Macaca fascicularis: one gene and its partners. The protein of the gene in region 1 purifies or fractionates together with the protein of each later gene. This does not show direct contact. Links are inferred from orthologs where the notes say so. Each region holds a gene or a part of one and is shown in the gene's direction. Other genes may lie near its edges.

Evidence for each region.
Region 2: the proteins of STRIP2 (region 1) and PPP2CB purify together in Homo sapiens (affinity purification with mass spectrometry; 3 studies listed by BioGRID and IntAct, counting the BioPlex papers as one, with this or other methods). This does not show direct contact. The link is inferred for Macaca fascicularis from reciprocal best matches to the Homo sapiens genes STRIP2 and PPP2CB.
Region 3: the proteins of STRIP2 (region 1) and SIKE1 purify together in Homo sapiens (affinity purification with mass spectrometry; 3 studies listed by BioGRID and IntAct, with this or other methods). This does not show direct contact. The link is inferred for Macaca fascicularis from reciprocal best matches to the Homo sapiens genes STRIP2 and SIKE1.

Annotation. Positions count from the first base shown.
Region 1 is NC_088377.1:170,926,770-170,931,794, forward strand, and holds part of STRIP2 (striatin-interacting protein 2), read left to right. Parts: intron 1-1,294; coding exon 1,295-1,530; intron 1,531-1,791; coding exon 1,792-1,857; intron 1,858-2,595; coding exon 2,596-2,659; intron 2,660-3,689; coding exon 3,690-3,761; intron 3,762-5,025. UniProt on the Homo sapiens protein: Plays a role in the regulation of cell morphology and cytoskeletal organization. Required in the control of cell shape. Calmodulin-binding scaffolding protein which is the center of the striatin-interacting phosphatase and kinase (STRIPAK) complexes.
Region 2 is NC_088382.1:34,023,631-34,029,152, reverse strand, and holds the start of PPP2CB (serine/threonine-protein phosphatase 2A catalytic subunit beta isoform), read left to right. Parts: upstream 1-1,986; 5' UTR 1,987-2,396; coding exon 2,397-2,498; intron 2,499-5,522.
Region 3 is NC_088375.1:119,597,420-119,602,444, forward strand, and holds part of SIKE1 (suppressor of IKBKE 1), read left to right. Parts: intron 1-1,103; coding exon 1,104-1,205; 3' UTR 1,206-5,025.

The DNA of each region.
Region 1 (5,025 bases):
CCTTACATTCTGAACAACACTTAAGGGTATAATCCTGAGAATAGGGACCCAGGGTACTGGAACAGGTCTCCAACCTAATCCATTTTTCTGGGGTAAGGCATTTTACTATTTTGAAGCAGCAGGAAGGTTTACTGTCAGCCAGCCATACTCTTAACTGGCCCCGGAACCAAAGGCTTACATTTAAGAGATGACTGGGTAGGGGTCTATGTATATAACCGTGTGACACTTAACGACAGGGATACAATCTGAAATATGTGTCATTATGCAATTTTGTCACTGAGCAAACATCATAGAGTGTACTTACACAAACCCAGATGGCATAGCCTACTGCATACCTAGGTATATACCCTATTGTTCCTAGACTACAAACCTGTACAGCAGGTTACCATACCGAATACCATATGCAATTGTAACCCAATGGTGTTTGTGTATCTCAGCCTAGAAAAGGCACAGTAAAAATACAGTATTATAATCTTATGGGTCCACAATTATGTATGCAGTCCATTGTTGACTGAAGCATCGTTGTGCAGCACATGACTGTAGTCTGCTGTCCTAAAAAGGTCAGAATGACAGGTTATACTGAGACCTGACTATGTTCTTACAAACTCCCCTGCCTGACCTACTTGAGTTCATCAACAGGCTAGACAGTAGTGCTCAGTAATCCAATCTCCGTTATCTGCAATAAAATTTTTTAACCTTTATTTTTGTTTTATAAAGTAATGCTTACTCATTGTAGAAAATTTGGAACAAATATAAAAATGTGATGACGGGAGAAAAGAAAAATCACCCACAATCTTAACAACCAGAGACAGTCACTGTTAACTTTTTGGCCTATTTCTGTCCAATCTTTTTTTCTCTGTCACAAGATTTAAAATTCCAAACTTGCTTCCCTCTGCCTAGCAGCAAGCTTCTGTCCTCCTCTTCCTCAGTCAGCCAGCTGGTGTATGCTCACAGAAGGCAAACTAATTGAATGTTCACCTAAGCAGAGCATAATTAGGAAGGAAAGTGCTGGCAAAAAAAGGCATCACTGCTTTCTGAAAGCTAAGTAACTGACTTTGGGATTATCTATGCTCTGTTCCCTGGCTAATGGCAGGGTTGCCTGAGAACTTCTTGTTCTGTTATTGGTTCGGGTGGGGACAGTAGGGTTGAGATGGGGAATTGGATGTTTTCACAAGGGCTGTGTTCAGATTCCATGTTCCCTGAAATCTGGAGGTCTGTGGATATGGGGTGGCCTCAGACAAGGATGCCCAGAGTGAGCTCTCTGCACGCCTACCCTCTTTTCTTTCCCCTCCAGCAACTCCTCACTAAGCAGGACAGCCTGGACATCTACAATGAAAGGGATCTCTTCAAGACTGAGGAGCCAGCCACAGAGGAGGAAGAGGAGTCTGCTGGTGATGGAGAACGAACCTTGGATGGAGAGCTAGACCTGCTAGAGCAGGACCCTCTGGTGCCACCTCCACCCTCAGAGGCACCCCTCTCTGCTGAGCGGGTGACTTTTCCCAAGGGCCTGCCCTGGGCCCCAAAGGTCAGGTAGGTTTAATAGCATCAGGGACCCCTATGCTTTGGGGTTTCAGTCTCTAAAGGCCCAAGATGGAGTAGTCTATGTATTCAAGGCTCGTTAAGTTGGTCTGGCAGTCAGAACTCCTGGGTTTGAAATTCCTTCTGTTGATTGCTGCCTTTTTCCACCGCTCCAGTCCTCTGATTGGAGGGGTAGGAGCCTGGAAAGTTTCTCTCTCTCAAAGTTTGCTTTTCTTCCCTTCTCTGGGATTGGTCTTTCCACCATCTTCTCAGACAGAAGGACATTGAGCACTTCTTGGAGATGAGCAGGAACAAGTTCATCGGATTCACCCTGGGGCAGTAAGTGACTGGTTGGAACTGGCTATAGAGTGGTTCCTAGGGGCCAGAGGAGCAGGTAGCTTGGAATGAGGGATGGTGCTTGGTAGTCATAATGTAACCTAGAGCCCCTAGGCCATGGACAACTCCCAGTGACTACTTTGGGTTCTTTCTATGGATTTTTTTTTTTCCTTGAGTTTCTTCCACTTTTCCTCAAAGAACTTTTGTGTTTTTTGCCAACTGTAGGACTTTGAGCAACAAGTCCTTTCTCTTTTGGGCCTTAATTTTTTCCTGAGGTTATTGAGTTAGATGGTTTCTATGGGCCCTTCCTGCTCAAATGGGCTAAAATTCTGTGAAGAAGAGACATGGTTAGAACGGATCCAATCTTCCCCCATTTCCCCATCTTCATGAATCCTTCCCACTGACCTCTTGAAAATTGAGTCTTTATTAGTGGAGTTTCACAGTCAAGATGTCATTGGGCTATACCCCTTTTAAGTAGGAATCTACCACTCCCACACCAAGTGAGTACCCAAAAGACTATAAAAGTCTCCTGATTTCCAGGAACATTTCTGTGTGCTATTATTATTTTTGTGTCCTGAAGCACTGATGTGGGATCTACAAGCTTGCAGAGGAAGGTCTAGGGTACTGGGGGTAGATGTTGTTGAAAGTAGCATGGTCCGTGTGACTCTAGGGGGATATTGGGGTATCAGTAGTTCCCTGTACTTTGGAAGCTTATGATCTGGTATGTCTGGCCTTTTACAGGGACACAGATACATTGGTTGGATTACCCAGGCCCATCCATGAGAGTGTGAAGACCCTAAAGCAGGTGACCAGGGTGGGCTCTCAGTCTTCAGGGATAGGGAGCCATCAAAGCAGGTCAGATTACCAGGCTCCTGGATACTGGGTGGGGCTTTTTTTTTTTTTTTTTTTTGAGACAGAGTCTTGCTCTGTCCCCCAGGCTGGAGTGCAGTGGCGCGATCTCGGCTCACTGCAAGCTCTGCCTCCCGGGTTCACGCCATTCTCCTGCCTCAGCCTCCCGAGTAGCTGGGACTACAGGCGCCCGCCACCTCGCCCGGCTAATTTTTTGTATATTTAGTAGAGACGGGGTTTCACTGTGTTAGCCAGGATGGTCTCGATCTCCTGACCTTGTGATCTGCCCGCCTCAGCCTCCCAAAGTGCTGGGATTACAGGCGTGAGCCACCGCGCCCAGCCCGGGTGGGGCTTTTATACCAGACTCTTTCTGGACCTTCTGTATTCCCCCTGCAGTCCTCTGGCCGGTTAGGAAAACTTAGGTCTCTCTTTACTTACTCAGTTTCCCATATTCAGGTAGATTTTAAAATTCTCCTTTCTTCCTCTCATTTCTTTTTCCTCTTCCCATTCTTCTCTCTCTCTTCCCATTCCTTGCTTCTTTTCCTTTCACTTCTCTCTCTCCATAAGTCCACTGACTTCCAAAGGCCCAGGATTGAATAGGAGCCTGCTCTATATCCATTGTATGCATGGAGTCATCACTCCGTGCATACATGCACACGCATCAAAACTCTTAGGGCAGTGGTCCAGGGGCAGGGGCCTGTTTCTGGCTTCCCCTTCCACTTTGTTTGAAGATAAATGCTTACGTATTTGCTGCTCTTCCGCGAATGTAGAAACAGAATAAACAGAAACACTGTGCACAAAGCACTTTGACTGGTGCTGATAATGCGGAGGTGATTAAGACTCCTGCCTTGAAAGAGTTCATGTCTATGTGGGGTGACAAACGCATAAGCAGAACATTTCCTTGCTTTTGGGGAATTTAAGTAAGAGATTGGTACACATGTGAATGAGGCCCTCAGCCCTTGTTGATGTCTTCTTATCTTTGTCAGCACAAGTATATCTCCATCGCAGATGTGCAGATCAAGAATGAAGAGGAGCTGGAGAAGTGCCCTATGTCTTTGGTGAGCCAAGGAGGTCCTGCACAGGAGAAGAGTAGAAGAAAATCTGTCTTCAGTGTTGTCACAGAGCATGTGTGCATGCATTCATTTCAGCATATTAGGCTCTAACTGTGTTCCAGGCAAGACAAGGTCCCTACTTTCATGATATATTGAAGTTGAGGAAGAAAGATAAAAAACAAAAAGTTAAGTAAACCAAACTATCAAAGAATGGTAAATACAATGAAGAAAATTTAAACAGGATAACATGAAAGAAGCATTGGTAGACTACTAAGATTGGGCAGCCAGTAGGTGGACCTCTGAGAAGGTGACATTTAAGCCAAGATCTGAGGGACAGGGAGCCAGCCATAGGAACATCAGAGGAAAGAGCATTCCAAACAGAGAGAACAGCCTTAGCAAGGGGAAAGCAGGTTTAGAGTGTCAGAGGTAGTGAAAGAAGGCTCTTGTGGCTAGAACACAGGGCCGAGGGCCGGGATCCTACAGATAGAGTCAGAGAGGTGGCCTAAGGCCACTTTGCCAAGAGCCTGTAAGCAAAAGTAGAGAGCTTGAAGTAGACTCACAGTCAAAGGGAAGGAAGCCTTTGGAGATTTTAAGCAGGGGAGTGATATGATCTGATTTATGTTTCTAAAAACATTAGCTTCTGTGTAAAGATTGGACCAGAAAAGTGTAGACCCACTCCAGGGAGATTAGTTAGGAAACCCTTGAAATAGTCAAGGTGAGAGATGATGCCGACCTGGATTTGGAGATGTAGCTGACAAGACTTGCAGTGCATTTAGATGTGGTTAGAGAGGCAAAGAAAGGAATCAAGAATAAGTACCATTTGCCAGGATGTGGGGGGAATATCAAGAGTTCTGTTTTGGTCATACTAAGTTTTAGATGCCCATTAGATACCCATGTGGAGCTGCAGGCAATTGGAAATACAAGTCTAAAATTCTAGGGAGAGGGCTGACTTTGAGAAATAAATTCGGAAGTTGTTTGTAACACTTATAGGCAGTGTTAAAGGCCATAGAACTGACTGAGATAACCCAGGGAGGGAGTAGAGACAGAAGAGAATGGAAGGCAGGACAAAGTCCTGGGGCACACCAGTATGTTGAGGTGGGCATGTGTCAGGAAAGGAGCCAGAAGAGTACGAAAGACAGTGAAGTGGCTGGAAATCCAGGAGATTATGATATCATAAAAGCTAAGAAAGTCTTTCAAGAAAAAAGGAGTGATCTGCTGGGTAAAATGCTACTAATAAGTGGCATTATGGTAAGAACCAAGGTGCCCATTG
Region 2 (5,522 bases), on another chromosome or scaffold:
ACAGACAATGAATGGTCTTTCACTCGTTTGTCTTCTGGCGCACACACAAAAAAATTCCTTAGACCTTCTTTCCTCTTCTCCAGGCAACTTCAAGGTTTTGCCTTGGGAGAAAGTTGAAAATTCAGTTCAAACACCGCCTTTCTAAAGCTTTCTGTAATTGTTCCCTAGGAGGGATAAGGTAACTAACATATCGCTCCCATATGGTACTATTGGGCAGGAACTTTTAAAACTTAATCTTCACAAAGGTAGGCCTTTTACTGATTTTATCAGATGAAGAATTTGAGGCTTAAGGAGGTTTGATGATTGCCCAAGGACATAGCTAGGGGGTTAGCAAACACAAGAACCCTTGCTTTCTGATACAGGATGTTACCTTCCGCTTGGGTCAGCTGCAGTAATATGTACCTTTAATAGACACAGTATGATCATTTAGCACTTGCTATTCAAGGTATCTGGTAGCTAGCAGTTGCTCATGTTACGTAACTGAATTTAGGTCCTCCCACCAGCATAGCAAAGCCAAACACTGACATTGGGGTTTGCAGTGAAAGGGAGGCATTTATTGCATCACACCAACCAAGAAGAATCAGGCAGCTCATGCTTAAGACCCCAACTCCCTGATGGTTTACAGGTAAGAGGTTTTTTGTGTGCTTTTTTTTTTTTTTTTTGAAATGGAGTTTCGCTCTTGTCACCCAGGCTGGAGTGCAATGGCGAGATCTCAGCTCACTGCAACCTCCATCTCCTGATTTCAAGTAATTCATCTGCCTCAGCCTCCTGAGTACAGGCGCCTGCCACCATGCCCAGGAAGTTTTTGTATTTTTAGTAGAGAAGGGGTTTCACAATGTTGGCAGGCTGGTCTCCAACTCCTGGCCTCGGCCTCCCAAAGTGCTGGGATTACAGGCATGAGCCCTTGCACCCAGCACAGGTAAGGGTTTTTAAAGGCAGGGAGGCAGATGTTACAGGCAAAGTCATAAATCAATACATGGAGGCTATACGTGGGTTTGATCTAAAAAGCCAGGATATCTGAAGTAGGGACCCACAGGTCATAAGTGGATTCAAAGATTTTCTGATTTGTAATTGGCTAAGGAGGCAAAGCTTTGAGAATTCTTCCAGGCTCCTCAGGAAGAAATTTAGAACAAAGATAGGTAGTTTGAGATCTCCATGATAGTGGACACCATTTTCCATTTGGTGAGGTCCAGGTTTCTGAAAAACAACTCAGGGACATATGTTGTCTCCAGTTTATATAGGGAAGCAAACATTTTGTGAATCTAACGTCCTTGGCTACTGTCTTAAGCTATTATTACCTTCTTGCTTATCAGGTTGCTCATTGACTTATTGAGGAAGTTAGGTGCCTGGAATGTCCCTTCGGGGAACTCAAGATTTTCCTTTATTTCCATGCTTGGGGAGGGTGGGGGTGGGAGTGCCTAGAAGGCCCCTAAGAGGGGTCCCTGCTGTGTCTCACTCAATAAATATTTGTTGAATGAACAAATCATTACAACTCAGTACACATTGCAGAAAACACAGCCAAGAGCGCTGGAGCTAGAAGGGCCACAGATTATCCTACAGAGCAATCATTTCACTTTTCTAATGTTGAAAGGGAGGATTCAAGATGTTAGGGCTACAGGCAAGCCTGGAAATAATTAATTTACTCCACCATTATTGAATGCCTACTATTGAGTGCTAGACTCTGGGGAGACAATGTTAAGGGAAGCCCAAGTTTTCCAATTCCCTGTTCCGAGCACTGAAAAAGCACTGCAGGAAGCTAAAGTGAGGACAAAGTTCCCGGAGATCAGGATATCTAAAGGGAGAACCAGCAGAGCTTGGTCTTGGGCAGGGTTGGGACAGGAGGGATCCTGGCCTCCTCCGACCGTTTCTCCGCCAAGCCACGCGAGGGCGCCGTTCTGCCCCTAGCGCGCCGTGTCCCGGCGGCGCCGCCGCCTGCTCGCCTTTTCCCGGCGGAAATGCCCGAGCGATGACGGAAACCCGGAGGGAGGGAAGAGAAAGAGCGAGAGAAGGGGAAAGATACCCGGGAGAGGCCGGCAGGCGTGAGGCGGGCCTGAAGCGGTAGCTGGCGGCCTTCGTCCGGCGAGAGCTAGTCCGAGGGCCCGCGCCGCCCTCCCAGCACCTCCCCGCGTCCTTCACCGACTCCTGCGGCGCGCGGCCGGGCGGGGAAGGGCGGGCGGGGGTCTCCTACAGGCCTCGCGCTCGGAGCCGCCTGCTGGGCTTGGGCGGGGCGCGGGGACCGCGGCCGCCCTCCCCGGCTCGGTCCTCCCCTTGTGGGATCTGGCGACGGCGGCTGAGGGAGAGGGGAGCGGCGCCCGGGCCGGGGCCGGGGGCGGGTGGGGAGGGGGGAGGGCAGCGGCCGGGCCGGGGGTCGGGATCCGCATCGGGATCGGGCCGCCATGGACGACAAGGCGTTCACCAAGGAGCTGGACCAGTGGGTCGAGCAGCTGAACGAGTGTAAGCAGCTGAACGAGAACCAAGTGCGGACGCTGTGCGAGAAGGTGAGGGCGCCGCGGGGGCGAGTGCGGGAGCGCGGAACTGGGACGGGCCGCAGCTTTCCTGCCCGCCCCGGCCCGTCCGCACGCTGGCCCCGGGCCCGGCGCGGCCCACCGGGGGCCCGCGGGGCTGTGGGTCCGGCTCCGGCGTCCACCCGGGCGGCCGGCCCAGCCGTTCCGGCCCCGGGGCGTTGGGCTGCCCTCGCCCGGCCCCTCTGCCTCCGCGTGGTACACGCCCCACGCCCCCGGCCCAGATCCTGGTGGTGGGAGGCTCGAGTGCGGGCGGGCGGGCGGGGAACCATAGCCCCCGGAGCCAAGCCGGAGGTTGGTCGGGGTCGCCTGCGCTCCACTGGAGTTCCTGCCACTCTGGCATTTCCCGAGTGGAATAACGAAAGCGACATCCGAAAAAGGACCATTTTCAGACCAGTTTCTGAAAATGCACCTAAAATTAACCAGAATGTCGTGCCTATTAATGAACTTGTTAATAAATGTAGAATTTTTGTCAGGTGAACGGGGCACCTCGGAAATCACTAACTCAAGCCGGGCGCGGTGGCTCACGCCTGTGGTCACAGCTACTCGGGAGGCCGAAGCGGGAGGATTGCTTGAGCCCAGGAGTTAAAGACCAGCCTGGAGCGCAGAAGTTAGAGACCAGTGAGGCCCCGTCTCCACAAAAATTTTTTTTAAAAAATTAGCAGGGCGTGAGGGCGGGTGCCTGTAATCTCAACTATTCAGGAGGCTGAGGTGGGAGGATCGCTTGAGCCCAGGAGGTGGAGGCTGGCTGCAGTGAGCCGAGATCGCGTCACTGCACTCCAGCCTGGGCGACAGAGCGAGACCTTGTCTCAAAAAAAAAAAAAAAAAAAAATCACTGACTCTTGAATGTGTCAAGCGTTTGTTTGTGGAGAGGTAGGCGTGATGGCCAACTGTGATTTTTAAAATAGAGGTTGACTTTGGTGGAAACAGATGGTGACTGGTCTTTGCGTTGAGCGGCTCTTGGAAGTAAAGCGTTGATTCAGAAACGAGAGCTGGTCTTAAGTTTGGGAACAGTGTTTGCTGGAAATAAATGGGATGTGTGTTTTCATGCACGATAACACTTTGCAGAAAGTTATTTTTGTTTTTAATATATATAAAGTTTTTTTCTTTTCCAAAGAATAATAAAACATGCAGGTGATCAATTTCGTTCTTGTACATCGTGTGTGATCTTCACTTTCTGAATTCTGTATCCATTGTTTTCTTAACTCCTGGAATTATTTCGATCTCTCCATCTTTAAAGTCTAGAGTTTTCCAAATTCATCCTTTACAAGGTGGACTAAATAATTTTCATGTATTTTTATGTTAAAAATTCTCACTTGAAGTCCATGAAGAAGTAAAGATGTTATTTTAAGATGTAATGTATACAATTTTCTTAACCATAATGTTTGGAAGTCATGACGTCGCAGAAGTAGGTGAAGAAAAGATTTTGTTAGTCTAATTTTAGGACACTCTTAAAATCATGAAATTTACTTAGGAAAGGAGCACTAATAGATGGTGTTAAGTTAAAATAGTATTTTTAACGGGTGTAATGTTGGCTGGGGCCTTTGTGTATTAAGTAACTGTTAACACAGGAGGATTTATTTTTGTATATAGAAGTGCCAAGCAGGTGGTACTTTTCTCTTTCTGAAACAAACTGCTTACTTGTGACTTCAGTCGACGTTCATTTTTATTGTGATAACCTGTAATTTCATGAGGCTTAAAATGTATGCTTTAAACATCTCTCTCAAGCTCCAATGCCAAGTGAAATGTACAGGTTTGAAATGAGCTGAGTCAGTTAACCTGACTACGAGCATCAGAATACAGACTTGAAGTTAAGGGCAAAGTGTTAGTTGAATCAGTTTTTTCCATTGACTCTTTTTTTTGTTTTATTTTTGTTTTGAGACAGAGTCTCACTCTGTAGCCCAGACTGGAGTGCAGTAGTGCCATCTCTGCTCACTGCAACCTCCACCTCCTGGGTTCAAGGGATCCTCCTGCCTCAGCTTCCCGAGTAACTGGGATTACAGGTACACGCTGCCATGCACTGCTAATTTTTGTATTTTTAGTAGAGATGGGGTTTCGCTTTGTTGGCCAGGCTGGTCTAGAACTCCTGACCTCAAGTGATCCCTCAGCCTCCCAAAGTGCTGGGATTACAGGCACGAGCCTCGTGCACAGTCCCCATTGACTTTCTAATAATTTTAAGGTGAACTCCTAGAGAAGAATATTGTACCACTGCTGTACTTTGAAATAATCACACCGGAGTGTCAACGATCACTTGAGGAAGCTTTCTGTATTTGTCGAGAGATTATTTTTACTTCGGCTCCTAAATAAATCAAACTAACAGTTCCTAGGACTTCACAGGTATATTTAAGATTATCTCTTGTATCTTACTAGCTTTTTTTTTTTCTTTTTAAGATGCAGTCTTGGTGTATCAGTCAGGCTGGAGTGCAATGGGGCAGTCACTGCTCACTGCAGCCTCGACCTCTGGAGCCCAAGGGACCCTCCCACTTCAGCCTCTCAAGTAGCTGGGACCACAGGCATGTGTCACTGCACCGGGATAATATTTTTTTGTATGGGGTCTCACCATGTTCCCCAAACTGGCCTTGAACTCCCAGGCTCAAGCGATCCTCCCGCCTTGGCCTTCCAAAGTACAGGGATTGCAGGAGTGAGCCATCACTCCCAGCCCTTTTTTTTTCTTTGAATATTTGTACTCACCCACAAAACATGAATTTGTTAGTGAAATTCATTCATCTTTGTTCTCTTCCCCCATTGATGGAGTTGCCAGTGGGATGGAGAAGTGTGATAATACTCATATCTCTACTCTTTTGAGCCGTGCTTAGTTTTGCAACCCTCTTCTGGCAGCTATGACCTAGTTTTGTGGTTTGTGTGTGCATGTGTATATATACATATATATGTTTTCTGACCTTAGTTTCTAGTTCCGTTTTATATCTCTACCCCTATCCTCCTTGTTGATACATAACAAGTGTAGCGTTCATCCTGTCTGAGTTCCAGTCCTCCTTCACA
Region 3 (5,025 bases), on another chromosome or scaffold:
AGTAAATGGTTTGTGTGCTGCTTATTACAAGGTACTGTCCTGGGGCCTTTGAGAAATACCAGAGAGAAAAACACAGGTACCTGCCCAGAGTCTAGTGGAAGGGATAATCCTAGTATCATATGATATTAAATAGTATGTAAATGCTAGGAGACAGATACAAATACTGAAGATTCATCGACCACAGGCTCTAATCTCTTAGTTACTCTAGCTGGGACTTCCGCACATCTTGGTGAAGCTAAAAATGCTTTGGTTTACCAGAATTTTCTGCAGAGAATAAGGATGAAGAGCGGAAGCTACTCTCTCTAGAAATCAAAGGTAGTGACAGGTCCCAAGGAGGAATTAGGAGCTAGTGAAATGATAGCATGACCTTCTATTTATCCTCGATTTACCTCACTTATGGAAACAGCCCTAAGGAAATGTGGGACAAATTCTACCTTAATACTTCAAGTAGAAAAAACATGACCACTAGATTCAGACCCCAGTAATACCACATCCAAGTTGTCTGAATTTGGACAACTTTTAGGAATTTTGTGAGCCAGAGCATCCTCATGAAATACATGGATGTAGGCAATGATACCTACCCTACAGATCATTGTGAGATAGCATATACAGGGCACCCAAGTAGTACCCAGCTACATGCTCAATAAGTAATTTCTTTCCCCCTTTCCTTCCATTTCTCTGGAACTATAAGATATCCAGGAGAGGAGATTAATCAGAGTGAAACGATTATTAGGAATTTTTTAAATAAAAGAAATAATAGTAAAACTGTGGGAACCATGAAGAATAAAACATAGTGAATTCCTCAAATGGAGAGGGACCCTGTTTTTTGTTTCTCCTTTGTAATTGTAACACTTGGTATATAGAAATTACTCAGTAAATTACTACTACAAAAGAGTATCATTGCCTACATCCTACATGTAAATGTTTGTTAAATGAATAAATAAGTAGTATTTAAGGAAATTCTCAACTAGTGGGTTTTTTGTTTCCTTAAAATTTTTTAAATTAAAAATAATGTTTTCTGCTCCTGGCTCAAAATAATGTGTTGTTGTAATGCAGCTTGACAGTAAATATACCAGAAATAAACATGCCTTTTTTTTTTCCAGCTTGAAAATAAGGAACTTCGAGAATTATTGTCCATTAGCAGTGAGTCTCTTCAAGCCAGAAAGGAAAACTCAATGGACACTGCTTCCCAAGCCATCAAATAACTGAACTCTGAATGATGGCTGGAGATTGTCTATCAAGGAAGGAAGTTACTATCTTCCCATTCAAGTACTGTCCATTAAGTGTCTTGCCTCAGATTTGATTTAATCTTAATTAAAGGTATCAGGTGGCAATTTAGAATTCCAGTCAATAATGGCTGTCCACGGTTCTCAGATGTGTTAATATGAATACATGCTGAATTTCACCATTCCTTTCTCAAAGAGACTACTTTTAATTTTCATTTCTGGGACTTTGATTTATATAAACTATGTTTTCAGTTCATTGTTATTTTTCACATCTTTGAAACTTTGAGCATTTTTTTATAAGCCAGCAATTTTATTTTATATAGCATTGTAAAATACACTTCTAGGAAATTTTAGGAAAGATTTAACTTTTTAAATCTATTTGGCATAAACCCTGATTTTTTTTTTTTCCATTTGACAAAATAATACAATTCCACAGAACTAGGTCAGCAGATTCTCTGATTTGTAATGTCATTCACCTGTGAAGTTTTAAGTCTCTCTGGTGCTAAGAATTGGCACTTTATAGCCTGGTGCCTTTACTTTTAATTTGAGAGAACCTACTGCTAGTCCCAGGAAACGTACTTGGAAATAAGTCAGCTATTTTTTTCCCCAGTGATACTATAGTTGTCGTATTGTTCAAAGTTCATACTGTTCAAAGCTGAGGAGCTTGTCCTGTGTATGCGCATGCACACGTGCACTTAGTTCAAATACTAAAAGTAGCTTTTATTAAATATAATCAGCCAAAAAAACACAAAAAATCAAAAAACCAAATATAAGTAGTCAGTTTTTCAATGTTATCGTATTAGTTCTATATTCTATTTTAATTTTTATACAATTTCCATTTTATAATCAAGAACCATCACTTACTTGGATTGGATGTCTTTCAGTCCTAGCACTAATAGGTAGTTGGCTTGCTTTTTTTTTTTTTTTTTTTTTTACATAGAAGCAGTTGTGTTTTTTGTTTTTTTTTTTGTTTTTTTTTTGTCTTTTTTCTGTTTTTTTAAAGCTATATAAAAAGGTGAGGAAGCAGTTTTGTTACCTAATGAAAATTATTACACTCATAATGCTGTGTAGACAACATTGAGATTCAAATGCTCAGTGGTCAGCTGGGTTCACTCATCAACTCATTCCCATCTCAGTTTACTCACATTTCAAATTTATAAATTCTTCGTGTTATACTATTCTATTTAGATTTGCCCAGAATTAATTGAAATAATGCTAAACCTGTCAATAGTTTCCAGTAACATTAAGCACCATACTGCATGGGAGAGACACAGTATTAAAAAGAGTTGTTAGTGCTTTATGTGATATATTTCTTTTGTAATGCTATAAAGAACTACAGTTAAAACAAAATCTTCCAAAGATGTCCTAAAAGCATCTGATCCCAGTAATAACTAATGGATGTCATCTAGAGCAGTGGGTGTTAATGAATAGGTATATGTCATTTAAGAATTTTTCAAATTTCTGTTCGATATCCTGCATAGAATTTGACAAAAAAACACCTCCAAGTGTGAGCATTTTTTATTTCATTTCCCAAGAGTAAGTAAGGAAACTGTTAGCCCAGCCATCTGCCTTGAAGTATACCTTAAGTGACCCATAAATCCATTCAAGAGGCAGGTACTCTATGCCATTTGGCAGCTATGGCCAAACTTACCATGGCCAGATTTCAGCGAAAATGATGAAGTAATCAAATTAAGGTATAATATGGTGTCCCTTTATCTGCTTTATGTTCCTTTAGAGCTGTTTATAAAGTTCTTTATATCTCAAGTGTCAGGATAAATCTATATATTAACTTTTCCCCCTGAGAAATTAAAAGCCTGAGGTACAAGTCTAAGAAGCTTTTAGTGCCCTACATAATATAAATTCTGGCTGGTGTTAATGCTATGAAGATAATGTGTAGTTAGAAAATTGAGTGGGGGAGGAATGCTTTTCATTTTAAGTGGATTTTAAAGTTTCTCTTTCAGTGGATGAAGAACTTGCCTGGTTTGCAAAAATCTTAGTTCAAAATTACATTTTCTAACAAAAACTGCATTTTGAGAAGATTAGCTGATTTTATTCAGTAATAAGTCAAATTAGGAAGTGCAGTGTTTTTTTACGTATATATATATATAGCAACCTTGTCAAGTGGTCCTCACAAGAGTCATACATACTTTGTAATTAGCACAGTATATTCAGCAGTGTATAACTCTACAAATAGTACCTTATATTAGTGTAGTATTATATCCATATCTTATATATGATTCTTATATTAATACCTTATGCATAATTTGATTCAAACATTAAAGGTCTATTTTAGTGTTCTTCAAAATGTGGTTCCCTGACCCACTGAAATAGAAATTTGGTGATGGAGTTCAAGAATTTATATTCTAATCATCCCAAAGAATTCCTGAAGACACTAATTTAAAAATGTCTAGTCTAGGCCCCATTGTGTAATAGTTAGCACTCTAAAAAATTAAAAAGAAAATAGTCTATGTGCCAACCACTTCATTAATACTTATGATTTTAAAAATGAAAAAGTCTGGTACAGGAGACAAGTATATATATAATTATAATGCAGTGTGATAAATCCATTATGTAAGTATGTATAGGATACAGAAGAGGGACTTTAAACTTGAGAATTCAATAGAGATAATAAATGGGTAGGAGAGAAATAGAAAACTTTGGTGCCATAAAAGCAAAGTATGTATGGTATTGCCAATAATGGCTACCATCTATTGAGTGCTTTACTGTCTTGTCAGGTACTATATTATATAATCTCCATTTTAACTGTACCTCATTTTGCAGATACTCAGGCACAAGGAGGTGGTTATTTGTCCAAACTGGAACCAAGATTCAAACCCAGACAGTCTTAAGCTCATTTTTAATCACTAACTAACTTGAGATGCCTAAATGCCAAATACTGCTGGGAGTTCAAGTGGTTCTTAATTAGCAAAATCTGTTTTTATCAGTGCAAAAGAAACACCACAGCTCATATATTAGAAAGTATTATGACTTCAATAAATGGAGTCTTAACTAATGAGATATTATTATTTTCTAGAATGGCGTGGCTGAGAGTATGTGTGCATTCAACTGAAAGGAATAATGTATAATCAGTGACTCTTACTATATACAGGAAAAGGTGCAGTTCTGTCTTTCAGATCTGCCTCCTTACCATATTGGCTTTCATCCCTCATGCTGTTTTCTTGTGTTTGCTAGAAAGTTGTTGACTAGCCAAGTGTCATGCCCATGTTGAAGGCAAGGAAGAAAAAATGGAAATGGCCTGTGCCAGCTATATATATTCCCCTTTTATGAGGGAAAGCAAAGCTTTCCCAGAAATTCCAAATGGATTCCCCCTTGACTTACTTGCCTGACCAGTTAAATGGCCACTGGTACCTGCAAAGAAAGCAGGGTACATAGCTGTCCCAAATAAAATCAGTATTAGCAAGAAGAAAGAATATTGAGAAAGCAACTAACAGTGTCTGTGACTGTTACATGTCTGTGACTGTTAACATTGTCAAGTCCTTTCCCTTTGAATATAGTTTTGGAAGAATTAGCTGAAGAAGTATGTTGATATTGAATGGCCAAGAGAATGGGCTGTAGCAGACATCTGTCATTTCTCTTTTGGCTGCCCAATATCCTAAATCCTGTGTTTAGGGAATCCCTCACCTAATAAGGCAGAGCATTCCTCCCTCCTAAAGAATTTGAAAGTACCAGGTAAATGTTTTATCAGCCTCCTTTGCAGCTAAGGAAGAAACATCTGCCTTCAACTTTAAAGTTAGTGATACAAAGAAGCAGGGAACCATGCAGATTCCTTTGAAAATGG